Drosophila melanogaster: one gene and its partners. The protein of the gene in region 1 interacts with the protein of each later gene in a pairwise test. Each region holds a gene or a part of one and is shown on either strand. Other genes may lie near its edges.

Evidence for each region.
Region 2: the proteins of CG42288 (region 1) and CG13012 interact in a two-hybrid assay, tested with the Drosophila melanogaster proteins (one large-scale study listed by BioGRID).
Region 3: the proteins of CG42288 (region 1) and CG43054 interact in a two-hybrid assay, tested with the Drosophila melanogaster proteins (one large-scale study listed by BioGRID).

What each region holds. Positions count from the first base shown.
Region 1 is NT_033778.4:14,087,453-14,093,562, forward strand, and holds CG42288 (uncharacterized protein), read left to right. Parts: upstream 1-3,578; 5' UTR 3,579-3,656; coding exon 3,657-3,923; intron 3,924-3,995; coding exon 3,996-4,119; intron 4,120-4,183; coding exon 4,184-4,275; 3' UTR 4,276-4,362; downstream 4,363-6,110. Other genes in the region: prosap, read right to left, coding at 4,541-4,708; CG42287 (uncharacterized protein), read left to right, coding at 2,924-3,145, 3,205-3,340, 3,404-3,483.
Region 2 is NC_004354.4:16,673,754-16,679,918, forward strand, and holds the start of CG13012 (uncharacterized protein), read right to left. Parts: upstream 3,001-6,165; 5' UTR 2,418-3,000; exon of another isoform or gene 2,383-2,417; intron 1-2,382. Other genes in the region: CG13010 (uncharacterized protein), read right to left, coding at 4,686-5,090; sing (singles bar), read left to right, coding at 5,562-5,873, 6,017-6,157.
Region 3 is NT_033779.5:17,624,644-17,628,889, reverse strand, and holds CG43054 (uncharacterized protein), read right to left. Parts: upstream 1,032-4,246; 5' UTR 990-1,031; coding exon 579-989; 3' UTR 501-578; downstream 1-500. Other genes in the region: CG15147 (uncharacterized protein), read left to right, coding at 2,672-3,112.

The sequences.
Region 1 (6,110 bases):
GCGCCAAAAGTTTTCACAGTAATTCCAACGAAAGACAACTCCATGCCACTTGTGATTTGAAACTACACATTAACTTGGCCTAATTGAGCCATTTCCCATTAACCGAAACCTAACCTAATTGCCATTGTGGCTTTCTGGGCAGTTTTACTGCCAGATTTATGGCGTTTATTCTGTCGGAAAATGCCTTCAATTGATTAAAGTTGCGGCGTTCGTAAGTAACGAGCTTTAAAGCGAACATATCTCTTTTAGTGAGCACACATATACGCTTTCGCTGACCACATTCGCTCACTTGGCTAAAAGCAATTCTTTCGCCTTTTTTTTTTTTGCCTCGTGCACTTCGGGTTATCCTGTCTGTCTGGCTGACTGCCTATCCTTCCTTTTTGGAAAGTTAAGAGCCTTCGATTTGAAATCCCCTTTGAAACGAGCTCAGTTCTTGGCTGATTTATTGTGCGAATTTGCGCGCACTTTATCCAACTTGCTTAAAGTTTTAGTTATGCCAAAGTTTTGCAAATAAAATTTAAGATAAACTTTGTGTAAGTCTTGACTACGCCCTATACTTAAGGTAGGTATTTGAAGTACTTTGAAGTATATTAAACAAGTATTTATGGATGTGCTTCTTAAACTCAAGATAATTATAGAACAGTTGGAATATTTTCAATTACCATTACATGTGGCTCACTTATCGTAATTCCATTCAAAACGTTCCCTACACGTATTTTCCATTGCCACCTTAGACCACAAAAAAAAATAAAATGAGCCACCGAGTAGTCCATATGCGGCTAAGCTTTCCTTACTGGTTTCTTATCGCCACGAGCCAAAGTTGTTTATTAACCAACCTGAACTTCGGGCCAAACAAAGCCCGTTGAATATTACACGCAAAACGACTTAGACACAACAAACCGGTAAGTAACGCCCACCCAGAAATTGAAGAAAAATCCATTGAATACAGATCAGAGAAGCTTTAATTTCGTTTTGATTAGCAGGCGGAAGTTGAGATGCCAGTGGGGCTAACACTCAACGGCGAACTGTAGCAGCGACATATTGGCGAAGTGACTGATTGTCCGACTGACTGACTGACAGACAGACAGATTGACTGATTGATGGTGTGAAGTTTCACTGAAGCTTGGCATGAGCAGCGCGGATCGGTCATTGAAAGCGAATTCCTCACCAGACCCAATAATACATTTATGGAACCCGACGCCATCGTCAGGTGTCCCGATAATGGGCGACGACGACCGATAAAATGGGAAATTATACAGGCACTCTCGTTTGTCTCTTCGGGATTTACTCAACCATTCCTCAGTTATCGAAGGCTCACAAATGGTTGAGCAAAAAGTGCAAAGAAAGAGGCCTCAATTGGAGTGCAAATATTTGTGCGATGATAGCATGAATTGTATTCTTTATGACGGTCTATATAGGGTTCTATGTTCGGTCGCAAGAGAAACCATGCGATAAGATATGCGGCCAGTTTACTGATTGATATACGACTGTGGGGAAGCAGGAAATTTGTTGGTAACCTGCTATGCTTTCAGGTGGAATAAGTAAAGGGAATATGCTAGATTTCCCAAACCAATGGATTAAGTTATTCCAATGATGTCATATTCTTTAGTTTGCAGCATGAACAACTTAATTAGCCCTTGCTATCTTTCAACAAAACACAAACAACATGCTTCCATAAACTTTAATCGCAATTCACATTGCATGCTTATGTAACTCAGGATATTATTCCCCACAAACAAATATCCCCAAAAAATGGTTAAAGCACGCTCAGCTTTCGGTTCCCACACAACCGATCAGAATTTACAACATAATTTACTAAGCTGCACGCTGACAGTGGAACCAGAGCGGCCACGCCCCCTTGCCAAAAAGCCAAAAACAAGGCAATGTCTGTCACTTGACGCGCTGAATTTGAATTGGCCGAAACGAAAACGGAACCGGCACGAAAGACCCGGCCATGCAATTAGCTGGAGGTCATTGTGTTCGGTTCAGCGAAGTTCATTTCAGTTCAGTTCAGTTCAGTTCGATTCGAATCGATACCAGTGTGATTTCAAATCCAGTTCGGTTTCAGTTTGGGTATCGCCCAGAGTTTCCGTTTGCAATTTTGCGGTTTCAATATTGAATTGGGCGAGGCCCCCGCATTGCATTTACGCTTGACAATGTTTCGACAGCAATTTGCTCAACAAATTGCGATTAAATGTATACAATTGATTGACCATTGTTTGGCTTTCATTAGCACAAAGGAGCGGGGAAGTGCCTTTCATTCGGTGAGTAATTTGACGGCATTATAAGGGCAAATAACCGCTGATCTTGACCCCCTGACCACGCATTTACTCATATTTCAAACTAAGTAACATATGTGAATATGTTAACACGTAGTTCTCCTAATCTGTTGGCCATTGAAAAACTAACCTTCCTTGTGACTGACACTTTTTTTTTGCCTCCCCTTGACAGACTGCCATTCAATTGTCAAATATCTTTGGATCTGCAGCGTCACGATTTCCAACTGGGCGCACGACCTCAGACATTGCAGTTGCCGATAAATTGCATTGAACTTCAAAAATTGAAACTTCACGAGGGCCATTTGGCAGCCATTCGAGGGCGGCTGAGGGGGCGTGGTCGTTTTTATGTTGTAAGGGCACGTGTCAGCCTTTGGCTGCATAAAAATTTCAATCAACAACATCTGTTGAAAAATTGCATTGCGATTCCACAGTAATTGGTTTTTTGTGTGATTCAATGCAAAATGCATTTAGTTTGATTGTGAATTTGTGTCTTTTAAGGATTTTGATCCTTAATCTTAGTGCAAGATTATTATTGATTCAAATATTAAATAACTAACGCAAAAATTTTACGATCAACTGTTCCTTGCATTCTGTTGTTTTGGGCGAAATTCATGTAAAAAAAAATCACAAATTTCTGTAGCGGCATGTTTTTTAAAAAGTGCTGCTTTTTCCTGCCCCTCAACGTGGGTTGCATAATCATTGGAGCCATCTTCATAACATTTCACGTTGGGGAGCTGATAACGCATTCGGATGACACCATTTTCATCAAGCAAGTGTCCCACAAATGGTGGGCACCCGTCATCATGTCTCCGATCCTGACAATTGGAACTCTGAGCTCTATACTCCTTGTGTATGCTGCTTCGAAGGTAAGAGATTCAATTGGTTTCTTTCAAGATTCTAATGCTTTATAACATTACAAATGCAGAGCAAGCGAGGCTTTGTCCTTATGTGGATTATCATCTATGCAATTATACTATCCCTATATTTCCTAATGGCCGTTGTCCAGTTGGCCAGGTCGAAACCTTCGCCGATTATATTGGCCGTTCAGGTGTTCATCATAGGTGGGTGTTGGCCATTTTTGATTGAATATGTCTGAATAATGTCTTGATTTTCATACCCCCTAGTTGGTCTCGTTTATTCCCTGCTAATAGTGCTGGCTTTTTATCGATATTTGAGCAGTGTGGATTCTGACGATTCAATTTGATGAGTTGTAAAATAAATGTTAAACTAACGTGTAACTGAATTTAACTGATCTAGTTTACTTCTTTCAGTGTGTCCCTTTTATACAAACTAGATTTTCAACAAATTTCAGTTTCTCAGGAAAGCTTTGAAAATTGTTGTTTAAAACTTGCAGTGCGGCTGAGGATCGGATCAATCATGGCCTGTCGCTGCAAATATCTGAAGCAGATCTTTACCAAGTGCTGCTACTGCTATTCCCTGCGTTTCGGTGTGCTGCTCTTCGGATGCATTTTTCTAACCTGGTTCATTTACATCACCATCGGCACCGGCTTCATGATGGAGTGCATCTTTCCGAACGAGTATCAGAGGTCCCTTATCCCAGCACCGGCGGCCCTCAAGGCCACCATGGTCTTCTCCTTCTTCGGCATCATAGTTTCGGCCATGCTCTGCCTGGGAGTGCACAATGTATGTGATCTGTCTATTATAAATATTCCCAATATATTTAGCATATGCTTATAATACCTCATAATTTTGTAGAACAACGAGATGCTCTTCCTGCCATTTTTGGTTTTCACACCCATTTGGATAATTGTGCACATTTTTGCCCTGACCGTTTACAGCTTTAATACCATCATCATCATCCTGACTGTCATCACAATGTGTGGGTACCCCCAATAATCATGAATCTAAAGCCTAAATTAAGTATACTATTTAATGTTTTATAGTACTTTTAGTGTATGCCTGGCTGGTGGTTTGGTCCTACTACATAGAACTGCTCTTCGCCTACGAAGATGAACTGGAAACCGGTTATGTGTAATAATAGTAATAATAATGATATTTACAAATTTTAGTATGTTGAGCAAGCATTTGATGTGCCTAATAAAATAATGCATGTAGGATACAGAAATACAGATCATAATTTCGCTTGAGCAGAACTCCATACTATGTGAAGTAGACCCCATTTCGGATGTACATATTTCTCCCCGTTTAGTGAGTATTTAGCGCACATGAGACATGCCCGTGCTCTATATACACCGAAAAGACAATGGGTATCGCAGTGGTAATGACAGTGACCGACTTACCTTCGGCAGCGAGGCGAGCACCTGCTGCTTGACATCCCAAACGAGCCGCTCCGATGGGAACTGCAGACACTTGTAGACATTCAGCTCCGGCACATGGATGCGCACCAGTAGCCATCCGTCCCGCGGCTCCGGCGGCGGCTCATCGTCAAACGCACCCGACCCGGACATGGCGTCCGTATTGGCCGGGTTCTGTTTGACTTTGGGCGTGGGTGGGTGGTATGTCGTAATTTTGACGGCTTTCTATCGCACGGTCCACGAAAAAAAAACGAAGCTACTCCCGCTCCACTGGGAGATCTCCTTCTAGCCGTTCTATTCGCTTAATTTGCTCTTTCCTTATTTGGTTGCACTTCAAAGTGATTTGCCTTTGGGCGTGATGAGCTACTAAGTTAATTTATCTAACTTTTTATTGCCAATCTATTTGGCTTTCTTTTACGGCCTTCTGCTGTTGGAATCCGTTTTGTTTGGACATTTCGCTGTGCTGCGTTCGTTGAGTCTGGCGCATGATGGTTCTGAAATGAATCAAATTAGAGGTATAAGAATAAAATATATTATAATGTATAATATTTCCTTTCCGAATCATAATGCATTACCCAATGAAGCTATTAATTTTCACTCCACTTTCATATGCACTAAATATTTTCGCATAAATTTAGTACACATATGCAAATTGCAATCCATTAAAAGCCTGCTCAAGTCCAGACAACAACATAAAATAGTTTCCCCAGCACTTAATTTTTAAATTGGTTTACTTTTCGAAACTGTCCACTGCACTTTTCCTACGCACTTGATGATATCAGTCAGACGGCAATTGGCCCGATTTTCCGAGCCCCTTTTCATGTCTGCAGGCCTATCTAATAGGAAAAACAAATTGTCAGAGTGAAAAGAAAACACTTGGGCTGCCGCAAACATTTCTCGTTGATGATTACAATTTGATATTGACATTTTATGGCTGCAGCACTGCAATGGCAGTTGCAATTGCAATTATGCACAAATTAAATTCACACGCTAGCTGGAAAGGAGGAGGTGCCACACGGTGGGTGGAGGATTGGAGGCATGTAAATGTGTGCCAAAGACCCGCTGACAGTTGTCGCTTTTGTGTTGGGGAGGAGGAAGGGGGGGGGGGGCGGAAAATGGAGCGGAAAAGCGGGCGGAGCGGGACATGTCGAGGCAACTGGAACTGTGGGCGGAACGGGTTAGCCACCAACTGCAGCAACAACCACATCTGCAAGTCTGCACTTTGTCGCATTTAATTGCGAGCGTGTTGATTGCATTCAACTAGTTAGAGTTGGCATTTCGAAAGGGCGGGGGACGGAGATGGCGGGAAATGGGGGAAAACTAGTGTAAAATGGAAATCGCTTGCGGGAAATGATAAATCCTAATTGAGGATAAAAGTTGTGGGTGCTCTGTCTGAAAGATGAAAGGTTTTGCAGTCAAAGGTTGTGACAAAATGAAAGGCTTTAGAAAAAGGTGGAAAAAAGGAAAGCATTTAAAAGTGCTTGTAAAATCCCAAATAAGAAGACTTTACTCGTTGAGTTTTTGTAAGAAACTGATTTTATTTGGAAATATCTTC
Region 2 (6,165 bases), on another chromosome or scaffold:
GAATTGAAATGGAAATCGTTGTCAAATGAAAGCGATGCCAGCGTCTCAATGCCAGCGATCAAGTCAGTTACGAATAGAACGGCATTTGCAGTAGATCAAGGTGGGGGAAGATCGCCATCGCCATCGCCATCGTCATCGTCATCAGCTATTGTCATCGCCGAACCCCTGGGAACATGATTTATCGATTTGACGATACCAGATGGGCTGATAAGCAGCATAGCGAACACGATCCTCAGGAATTCGAGGTACTTGGGTACATGGCGCCTCACAGAGAAAACTAAAACCCATGTACAAGTATCTAAGGGCGCATACAGCAGCGGCCAAGATGGTAGGATTATCAAGCAATTGAAAGGCCCAAGCTTCTGGTATAATTTAAGAAAACTAAACGACTTCCTTGAACGCATCTAGTACACTTGTCTGCCCAAGTGATCATATCATAAATCATAATATCATATCATATCATTATATCATAAATCTAACAAAGAAGTAATTACCTTGATATGCCCAGATCAGCTTAGATCACATTAAAATTTGCAGTGTACCCATTAAAAAAAGGGTTTTAATTTTTCTTCAAAATTTCTCGTTTACTTGCGTCCGCAATTGTTTGTGTGTCAGCACACCTCCGGCCACGCCCACTTCGACAACAAGTGGGCGACAAGTATTTTTTTTTCGCAATGACGCAGATGGACAGACTGGGCAAACTGTTTTTTGTTTTTCTCCCACAAATTGACAATCCAAAGTGGCTACCATTCCGGAATTTTCCGTTCCGGATGGGAAGACTCTTCCGCTTTGGATCCATCAGTGGGGGTGAATCATCGATACTCGATAATCGATTCTCGATTGTTTCGATAAGCTAGAAGATTTGGTTTTCAGCAACTCGTTGGCTTATAAAACCAAAGAGAGGCATGCTATCAGTATATAGATTCCATATCTATAACTATTCCCTGAAAACATAAATAACAAATTGTTCGTATCAATCTAGTTAGTTTTCAATTAAAGAGCAATGACTAAGATTATTTGTGCGGCACGAACATATATTTAGTAATTAAACTTATGAGTACGCTGCTATGTTTTTCTTTAAAGATAAGATTTCGGCGAAATATTATGGATCGCCGGTCATATCAGGTCATCTAATCAGGAACTCAAACTCAAAGGATATCTACTCGGAACTGCAGTGTCACTCCGAAACTGAGGTTTTCCCACCTGAGACAGCATTGCAGAAGATATAGTACATTACCATGTGATTTTGGACTTTCCAATCGAGGGGCACTTGTTCACATTCTGTCAACTCATCTCCGGTGCGGGGCACGCAGCGCGTAGTACACTGGGAGAAACTGGTTGACATTTCAAAATTCAATTTCGATAATGCGTCATTTATGAGTGTGACATTCTTTCGCATTCTTTCCTACCTGAGCTTACCTTTATTTTATTTAACAACTTATATATATATATATATATATATATATATACATATATATTGGGGCTCTATTTGTACTTAAGAAAAGGATTTCAAATTAAAGTGGGCCACAGCGATATGGGTTCGAGTGTACTTGTTTTGCAAACGTTTAAAAGTCGCCAAGTTCCTCCACCTCTACGTTTTTAGACTTCCAAAAATCATGACAATAGCAAATGATAGTGACGTCGACGGGGCGGCAAACAAATTGCTATAAATAAATGGCAATCGCAGGTTATACCACTTCTAGACCAGGATCGCATCGGATCGGTTAACTATAGACATGATGGGTATATATAATAGTCAATCAGTGTGCCAGACTGGCCAGGCACTTGGCCATTATCTTCTCACTTGGCTCGATGTTGGCCCAGATAAAGCCTTTTTGTTTACGGCCCTTCATTGCGACTTTCGCCCCAAGAAATCGCCCCTTCTGCATCTTGTTGTTGCCCCATGAATTGGCGTTTCAGCAAAAAAAAAAAAACAAAAAAAGGAAAAAAAATATAAAAATATACTCTATTTTAAACATTTGTGCTGCTCGCACTTGTTGTTGGTCTATCAACACCCACCACTCACAATTGTGCTTCGTACTATTAAACTTTAAGTACGAAGCACAAAATATTTGCTATTTGCCAGCAAGTTGTTGCCAATTGACAGCTGCATTTGGCTGTTAATGGGGAAAAGCGATTTGTTTAGCCAGCCAACAACAGTTTTTAGACTGTTTAAGTTCTGGGAAAAGCACATTCATTCACTTTCAAAACGATCGTAACAACGCTCTTTCTAACTCACTTTATAAATTTTTGAAATATTTAGCTCTTTTCCATACATCTAATGTATATTATTTTTACTAATTTTAATATTTACGAATTTTGTTATGTTGTTTTCTTATGCTGAAATTATATTGTTGATATTTTTGAGGAATTTGTACATACATATTGCTTTTGGCCACGTTTCCCATCATAAATACCGTTTTCTCAGATGATTTCAATTGTTTCCTGTTCTGGGTTTTCTCTCGCCAGATTGGATCTCTCGAAATGTGCTATATAGTATATAGAATGTCCGATATAATGTCCGATTTGGCGGCTGGAAATAACAGGCCGTTGACTGATGTTTGCGATTTATTTAATTAAATGCCCCGTTGTTGTGTACGTTGTTATTTTGTTTTTTTATTTTTTTTTTAAGGCGATTTGGAGATTGTCAGGCGACCGAAATAAACAAATACAAAACTGCAAATGAAAATGAAAATGCAACTGAACGCGAGAATTTGTCGCACTTTTAATTTGACTGAACAACAATCAGCGCACTGTGTCGACTTTTTGCCTTTTTTTTTGTTTCTTTTTTTTTTTGTGTAAGTCTTGCCGCAATTAATGGCACAACCATTAACAATTTACAAGTGGTTTTTTTTCGATTTTTCAGTGCGAATTATTTTTACATTCCTTGTTTGTTCGCTTCTTCACGTAAACATTTGAAAATTTAACATTTTCTTTGTTATATTGTTTCGTTGCTGCGACGTCAGACGCATTTGCGCCAATGAGAGAAAGGCAGACAGAGCTTTCCCATTTTCCGCCCGATCGGCGGATATTATGTATATATATATACATAACTTTAACCACAGATGCCTATGTGTAAATTCTATAGTCTTGACTTTTAAAATAAACAAGAGAGCATAAAGAGATCTTTGTGTGTTCGTAGTTGTTGTTTTTTCGGAAAAGCGAAAAATCGCAAAATGCCTCTCATCCCACATTTCCAATTGGATGAAGTTGGACGGGCGATTGATTATTGACCAACTAACTGCAATGATTTATGCACGTGCAAAATTCGTGACGAAATTGGCAAATTCCTAATTGCAGATTGCAAAATTTCCGCTTTATGGAGTGTGGAGGGGGGTGGAGGGGGTTTTGCAACGATTTATGCAAATTCTGAACGGTTTCACTTGTTACAGCATTTCTGGGGCGTCATCGTTATAGCTACCTTTTATTCGAAACATCACTTAAAAAAATTTTAAAATTAATAAGTATATAAGAATTGCATACATTTAAAGAATTGCATTACAATCCATTTTTACATATTCAAGAAGAATTATAAATAAGCGCTTGAATATATTAATACAAAAGTAGATGAATGTATACAGGAAAATATTTTTTTAAATATTTTTAAACTATACTTGTTTATTCTACAAAAATAACTCAAATACCTTCGTTTCTAATGCAATCTTAGATTTTAAACCTTCATATTTATTGTCTTATTTGTAATCTTATTATTATTGGTATATTTTTACATAAATTGCCTTTCGCTTAGCCCCAATTTCTCGCAGTGTAGCCGCCCATTGACGCAAGCGACAGCGCACAACAATAGCGGTAGGAGCAACAATAACAACTGCCGGCAGCAACAATTACTTGTGATAACAGCCACATTATTTTATTGTCAAAAAGCATCCACCCCCGCACGAGCACCACACCCCCCACCCCCCCACACACAACAAACAATCCCACAAACATGTACATCTATATAGATATATGAATGTATATAATCCCACCGATCGGGCTTAGCCACATAAATTGCCGCTGCGACTGATAAATTACACTAATCGCTGGCGGTGCCGACGTTTGAGCTTTGTTTGCATCCCGCTCCTGTCCCTGCCCCTGCCACGCCCCCTTCCCGGACACAACACGATCTTCTAGAGCGCCAACCGATCGGCTAAAGAAATCGGAGAACAGAGCGGGCACAAAGAAAGCTCAGGGGCGTAGAGATCGACGGGGAAAGTGAAAGTACATATGTACATACATACATATAACTTGGCCATAACTTCCCTGATTTATTGACCAATTTAGTTGGCAACTTTATTTCAGTTTAGATTATTCATGTTTTGCAGGATTCCCCCAGTTTCATTATCTCATCTAAAAATTTATCTATTTTAAATGTACTGACAGTTTGACGAGATCTGGAAGCCTAACACGAATTTTTGAAAACTATTATTAAAATAAATTATTGTAGTTGAGAGAACGTTTTAAAATGCTATAATAGGTTGCCATAATTACCATATAGAAACTTAAGAACTTTTGGTGTTCCAAAGGTTCGAAATGGAACATTTTTATTTAACTAATATCTTGAAAGCGAAAAAAGCAAAAGATTTTTGATAAGTGTATAGGGGACTACTGCAAGCCAAATTTCGATGACCATCAACTCCTATTGAATATATGCATTGCAATTCGCTGCAATCCCGATCCTTGGCAGTCTAGAGCGACTCAATGCTGGACTTCTTGTTCTTGCTCATGCCAAAGTATCCCCACCAGGAGCGGCGCGACCTCGCCTCGTCGGCTGGAGCAGCACTGGTGGCCATCGAGGCGGTGGCGTTGCGCACAGCTCCTCGGGAGGCGGTCGCCAGAGGTTGCTCCGCATTATCCTCATTGCTGCTGACACTGGACTCAGGAGGATTGGCAGCGGTGGTACTACGGCGACCGGCGGACTTGCCGGATTTAGCCGACTTCGCTGACTTCGCTGACTTGGCGGACTTGACGGTGTCCATGGAGACCTGGGTCACATTGGCCAGGCTGGGCAGTGGGGTGACGCCTCCATCGCGGGTGCGACGCTGCCGGCGATCGCCTCCACCGAAGAGCTTACTCAAATACGGCATGCACATCCTGGCAGTGGTTCACGTTCGCGTGAGCTCGAAATTTGGGGAATTATGCTTAACGTTTTTTTTTTTTGGAACGATTCGAATTGGCGACTAGAATTTGGATGGCATCGAAAATCAAACTGAACGTAGGATAGCAAACACTTGGGTAAATGGATCAAATTAAAAGGTGAAAAGGTTGATATCCAAGTTGTATCAATATTTTAACATATATATCATGTAGTTTCAGAGAAATTAAATCGGATATTTAAGGAAGATACCTTCCGCATAGACAAATCCTCGCCCATTGTGAATTGCTGTTCTAAATTTAGCTGGAGATTGGGGTGGATTTGTTGCCACGTCGCTGGAAATGCAAGGAAATGCACCACTTGGGGTCCATGTGTATCGGCAGCTATTTATAGAACCTGGTTGGCTGGCACTACGACAACATACAACAAAGCGGAGTCGCTGCATCGCCGGATCAGTTGCAATCAGACCATGGCCTCGTTTGGAGTTCGAGGAATGGGCCAGCCGCTGGGCATTCGGATATGCTGTTGTCGCGTCTGCACCTGCATCAATTTCGGGTTCGTTCTGTCGCGGATCGGCCTCCTGAAGCTGATGCAACTGGGCCTGGCCATGCTCTGCGAGGGACTGCTCATCCGCTACGGCGTACCATACGCCGATTCCATTGGCCAGGCGCTAACCAGCTTCCTGGCCACAACCGGCCACTGCTTCACCACCACTGGCATCCTGCTACTGTGCTACGCCTTCTCCGACAAATCCTACAGTCTCATTCGGCAGTCACTATTCGTAGGTTGACTTGGAGCGCTTTTCCAAGTGAAGAATAGATTCTCTACTAACTTGCTCGAACACAAAATTCAATTCAAATTGAAGGATGCATTTTAATTTTAATTTTTTCTGATCTAACGATATGGTGATTGCTCTTATTCCAGGAGACCTTGTTCAATGGCCTCGCCAGCTGCATGTACTTCAGCTCATCCAGTTACATGGGTTTCGCCTGCGTGGTATGGCTACATCCGCAGTTCCTGGTGCGACCCGGATTCTGGGCATATCCGGCCATGACAGCCTGCTATGTAAGTAC
Region 3 (4,246 bases), on another chromosome or scaffold:
CACTTGCCACACCGCCCTAGTTCAATTCCCGCCCCCTTCTACGCCCAATCTTTTTGCCGCTGGCATGCAAAGCGTTTTTTAATCCCCGGCAACTTCTGGCTGCCCGAACAAACGCATTGGCCAATTTGTGGCAAGCTGGAAAAAAGCAGGGGCCAAAGAAAATCCCAGCCGAAAATGAATAAGTAAAGCTGAAGGTTGAAGGCCATGCCACAGCCCTGTGGCAATTGCAGGAGTTGCACCACCACGAGCATTGACAAATGGGGCGAGGCCACTGGCCAGATTACTCGGCCATCTATAAGTTCAGCTGACGAGCGGAAAGTTGCTCACTTTGGGCGTCCTGGCCAAAGGGGCAGCAATTATCATAATGAGTGTGACAGCTGAAAATATAAGAAATTTATCGATGACTTGCCAGGTAAATTAATCACAATAAAGGAAATATTTAATGAATTCTAGTCAGAAGAAATTACATTTTGATTTAAAAAAGAAAAAACATATTTCTTGCATATAACTAGACTTCATATATAATTATAATTATAATTTTTATATACATATATATAGAAAATTCAGTTAACACAACTTCAAAGTAGATTTGATTTTAAACAAGTACAGCAATTTGTTCCTTTCTTTGGGTGATCAATTTGGCTGGCCTTGTGGATTGGTTGGGCTTTTGGTTTTTCAGCTTCACAAATGTCGAAATCGAAACGCTTTGGCACTTTGGCGGTCTTTACCTTTGTTATCACACACTGAAATGCGAAACAAAATGCAAATAGTATGACTATTATGCAGCCGATACACACAAGAATTATGGGGACTTTCCACAACATTTCTTCTTCTACAACATTTCTGGACTTCAGGTTTTTCTTTATGAAACTATAGCACTCATCTGCGCTCATCAGGCCAATTTCGTATTTACGCTTAGCTTTGACTGTTTGAAGATTGGGAAAAAACTTTAAGCGACTTTCCTCGCATATATTATTGAACCAATTCATTTCGTCTCAGTATTTTTAGAAGTACAAAAATAAATTTGATTTCCAATGTCGATGAATTTATCAGTGACAATTGGTGCTTTGTTATTTTTTTTTTTATTTATCTGAGTGGTAATAGCTTTGACTTAACTGATGCTGAATCCATAAAAACATGCATACATACTAATATGCACCCAATCTTAATCCTTTTAATAGTAAGCCTTTTTTTAATATAATACATACCAATATGCATCCAATCTTAATCTTTTTTATACTAAGCCTTTTTTATGTAATACCATTTGACCCCTTTAGAAATAGAATTCGAGTAAGCTCCCATAAATCTTGAGTTTTAAATTTCTTGACATTCACTAAGCCCAAAATTGAAAGGCGAAGGCAAATGTTTGCGATAAACTACCTGAGCAACTTAAAGCGAAAGTCGAGGGCATTCCCATGACTATTTGTTGGGTATTTTGCCAACACAAACTAAGTATGTTGATCCAATCAGAGGGAGCAGAAGAGCCGTATCCAAGACCCCAAACCCCAAGACATGGTGAATATATTTTCCCAGGGATTTGCGGCGGGATTCGAATTTGGATTCAAGTCGTAGTCGTCGTGTTCGTCGTCTGTCAACTGTCATCGGCTGTGGGTCGGTGGCTCACGTTCCGACCTCTAACCCTTGGTTATTATCATGTGGCCGGGACTTACATTTATTTATTTCCATATTATTCGAGAAGCAGCGGCGCTGCTCTACTTTCAATAACTGTGAATAAGACCGAATGAATGAACTGGCTAACCTTGCCGCTGGCTCGACACTCGGTGGCTGTGGCTCAGTGGGTGGTGCTGGGAAATGAGGCGCTCGACTTTTCCTACGCTGCTTTGTGTTCGGTTTATTAAAATATACATTTTCCTTTTTTCATTTGGCTTCCTTTTTGTGCGCTGTATTCTATTTGGCCGTGCCTGTGCGTTTGGCATGCTCTGCTCTTTACTCTTTAGCCTGGTAAATTTTGCAGAAAAAATCTTCTTTATTTTCTTTTTTTCACGTCGCCGCAGGTCAAAATGTCAGCAAAAACTGGACAATATACTAGACGTACAGTAATTACTAGAAAATTACGGATTTTTTGTCCACTTTTCAAATTAATTACTCATCACATTGCATTTGCCATAGAATGCACTTTCTCTTGAAACACATTCTCGCAAATTGCATGATACTCGTACATAGATGAATGCCCACTTTTTGTCATTCTGTATGAATATAGCTTTCACTTTTGATCGGAAATAACTCTTATGTACTTTGTATATCTCATTTCGTGTCTTGTTACCTCTATCTAAAGACCACTGTATAGCTCTGTTGGTTGATTTAATTTTTGTATTTATTTTAAGGCTTGCGGCTTTTGCATATTTCATGCGCATTTGCATGTTCTTTTTGCGAGCCTGCTTCGTCCTCGAAGATTTATTTGTCAGATACGCTCTTTTATTTGATTTATGAGGGCGCCCCATATCCTCCATCGGCCAGGTTATCTGGTCGCCGATAAGCTGGAGGCTTGAAGCTGCCCAGGAGAATTGTGTCAAACCTCTGAACCCCAGATTCAGCTCCTCGACCGGGATTGTCTCCCACATCCTGCCATGCCTGCTGCTCGCTGAAGTCCGTGGTCTGTGGTCCGCCCAAGATTTCCACCTGTTTACCTGTGTCCATCTGCCTCCCAGAGATGCCCGACAAAAGGCCACTGGATCCACTCCAGCCGGTGCTCTACATTGACCACTGCCGTTATCGTCAAACTTATCGCAAGCGAGCCCTGCACCTCCATTCTTCGCTGGCGGAGGCTCTGAGGGCCATTCAGCCAAGGGTTAAGCTCCAGCTAAGGATCAACGACAAAGGCCCGCCCGAAGATGGATCCTTTGAGGTTGCTATTGCTCCGCAACCAACCGATGATTCCACGGCCCGTCAAAGTGTATGGACTGGACTAAGGCGGATGCCCAGTGCATCGAAGGTTCCCCATGTGGACGACATTCTCACCCCAGTTTGTTTCGCCCTCAAACTGAGGGATCCGCACAAGGAATCACATCGGCGGATGCTAACCAATTTGCGGCACAACGAAGGCAGTCGACCAAGGACGAGGACTATAAAAAATGTGTTAAATAATACCTAGTAAATATTACAATAATAAACCAACACACTTGCAAGATCTTGAATTGTATTATTCATTTTAATTCAGCAAACAAAGCAGTCATAGCTTAAAATAGCCCTTTAAGCCCAAATCTAAAGTAAAATTAAAGTTAATGTAAAAGACAAAAGACCACCGAAAGGTCAGGCTTCATTATCCCGCTCATTTTTTGGTTAATCTGCAAAATCTGCAGCCAAGTGAATTTCGTTTCTAGGCAGGCACCAAAGATAACAATAAACCCCGAAACTAATGAAAAGACAAACTCTGCGCCGGAGGAAAATCCACTTGGCGGAACTAAAGTGTGATGTGTAACTGCGTACAGGCGGCAGTTATGGCAGCGCCAGAAGATGCAAATGAAAATTGCAGGAGGCACCGAAGGACCTTCGAACCCCACCCCCCACCCCCTTTGCACATTTCCTGCTCATTTTCGCCGGGGGAGTTGCCAGTTAAGATTTTCGCCTCGTTGCAGGGATCTTTGAAGGAGCGACAGGAGCTCAAGTTGAGTGCTGCATTTCGGCTTCATTGCATCTCGGTGAGCACACAGTGGGCGATAGAGGTCTGCTGTGAACGGATGGCAAGGGGAAAGGACATTAAAAGGTAGCAGGGGCGGTGCATTTCAAGGGAAAAAAGCACAATAAATCCCTACCCTTGTAGTAGTTGTATAATATTTTCGTTGCCAAAGTATTTCGCAGCCTGACGGATCGCCTTTGCCAGAGCGTCTGCTTTCGTGACTTAAGTTTTCAGCATACGCATTGTATGCACTCACACACACATACACATACACACTAGCAGCACACGCATACTCATTTAACTAGGAAGCACACACAGTCGCCGAAGGATACGCAGCTACAGTGGCATCAAAAATATGTGTGTCCATAGAAATGTACTAAGCGTACATTACTTATATATTTAAAAAACTCTTAAAAAAAACAAATTTATTTTTAAACAAAAATTATAATGTTCTCGAAAAGTTCAGCATTTTCGGAGGTCAGCATAGTGACCTTCATCCTAAATAGATGCACGCACGATGCGATAAAGTTAAGCAAACTTTCTACGAAACAAGGTTGTAATCGAATCGATGCAATTAGCTATTAGCTATTAACTTTGGTTAAAAATATG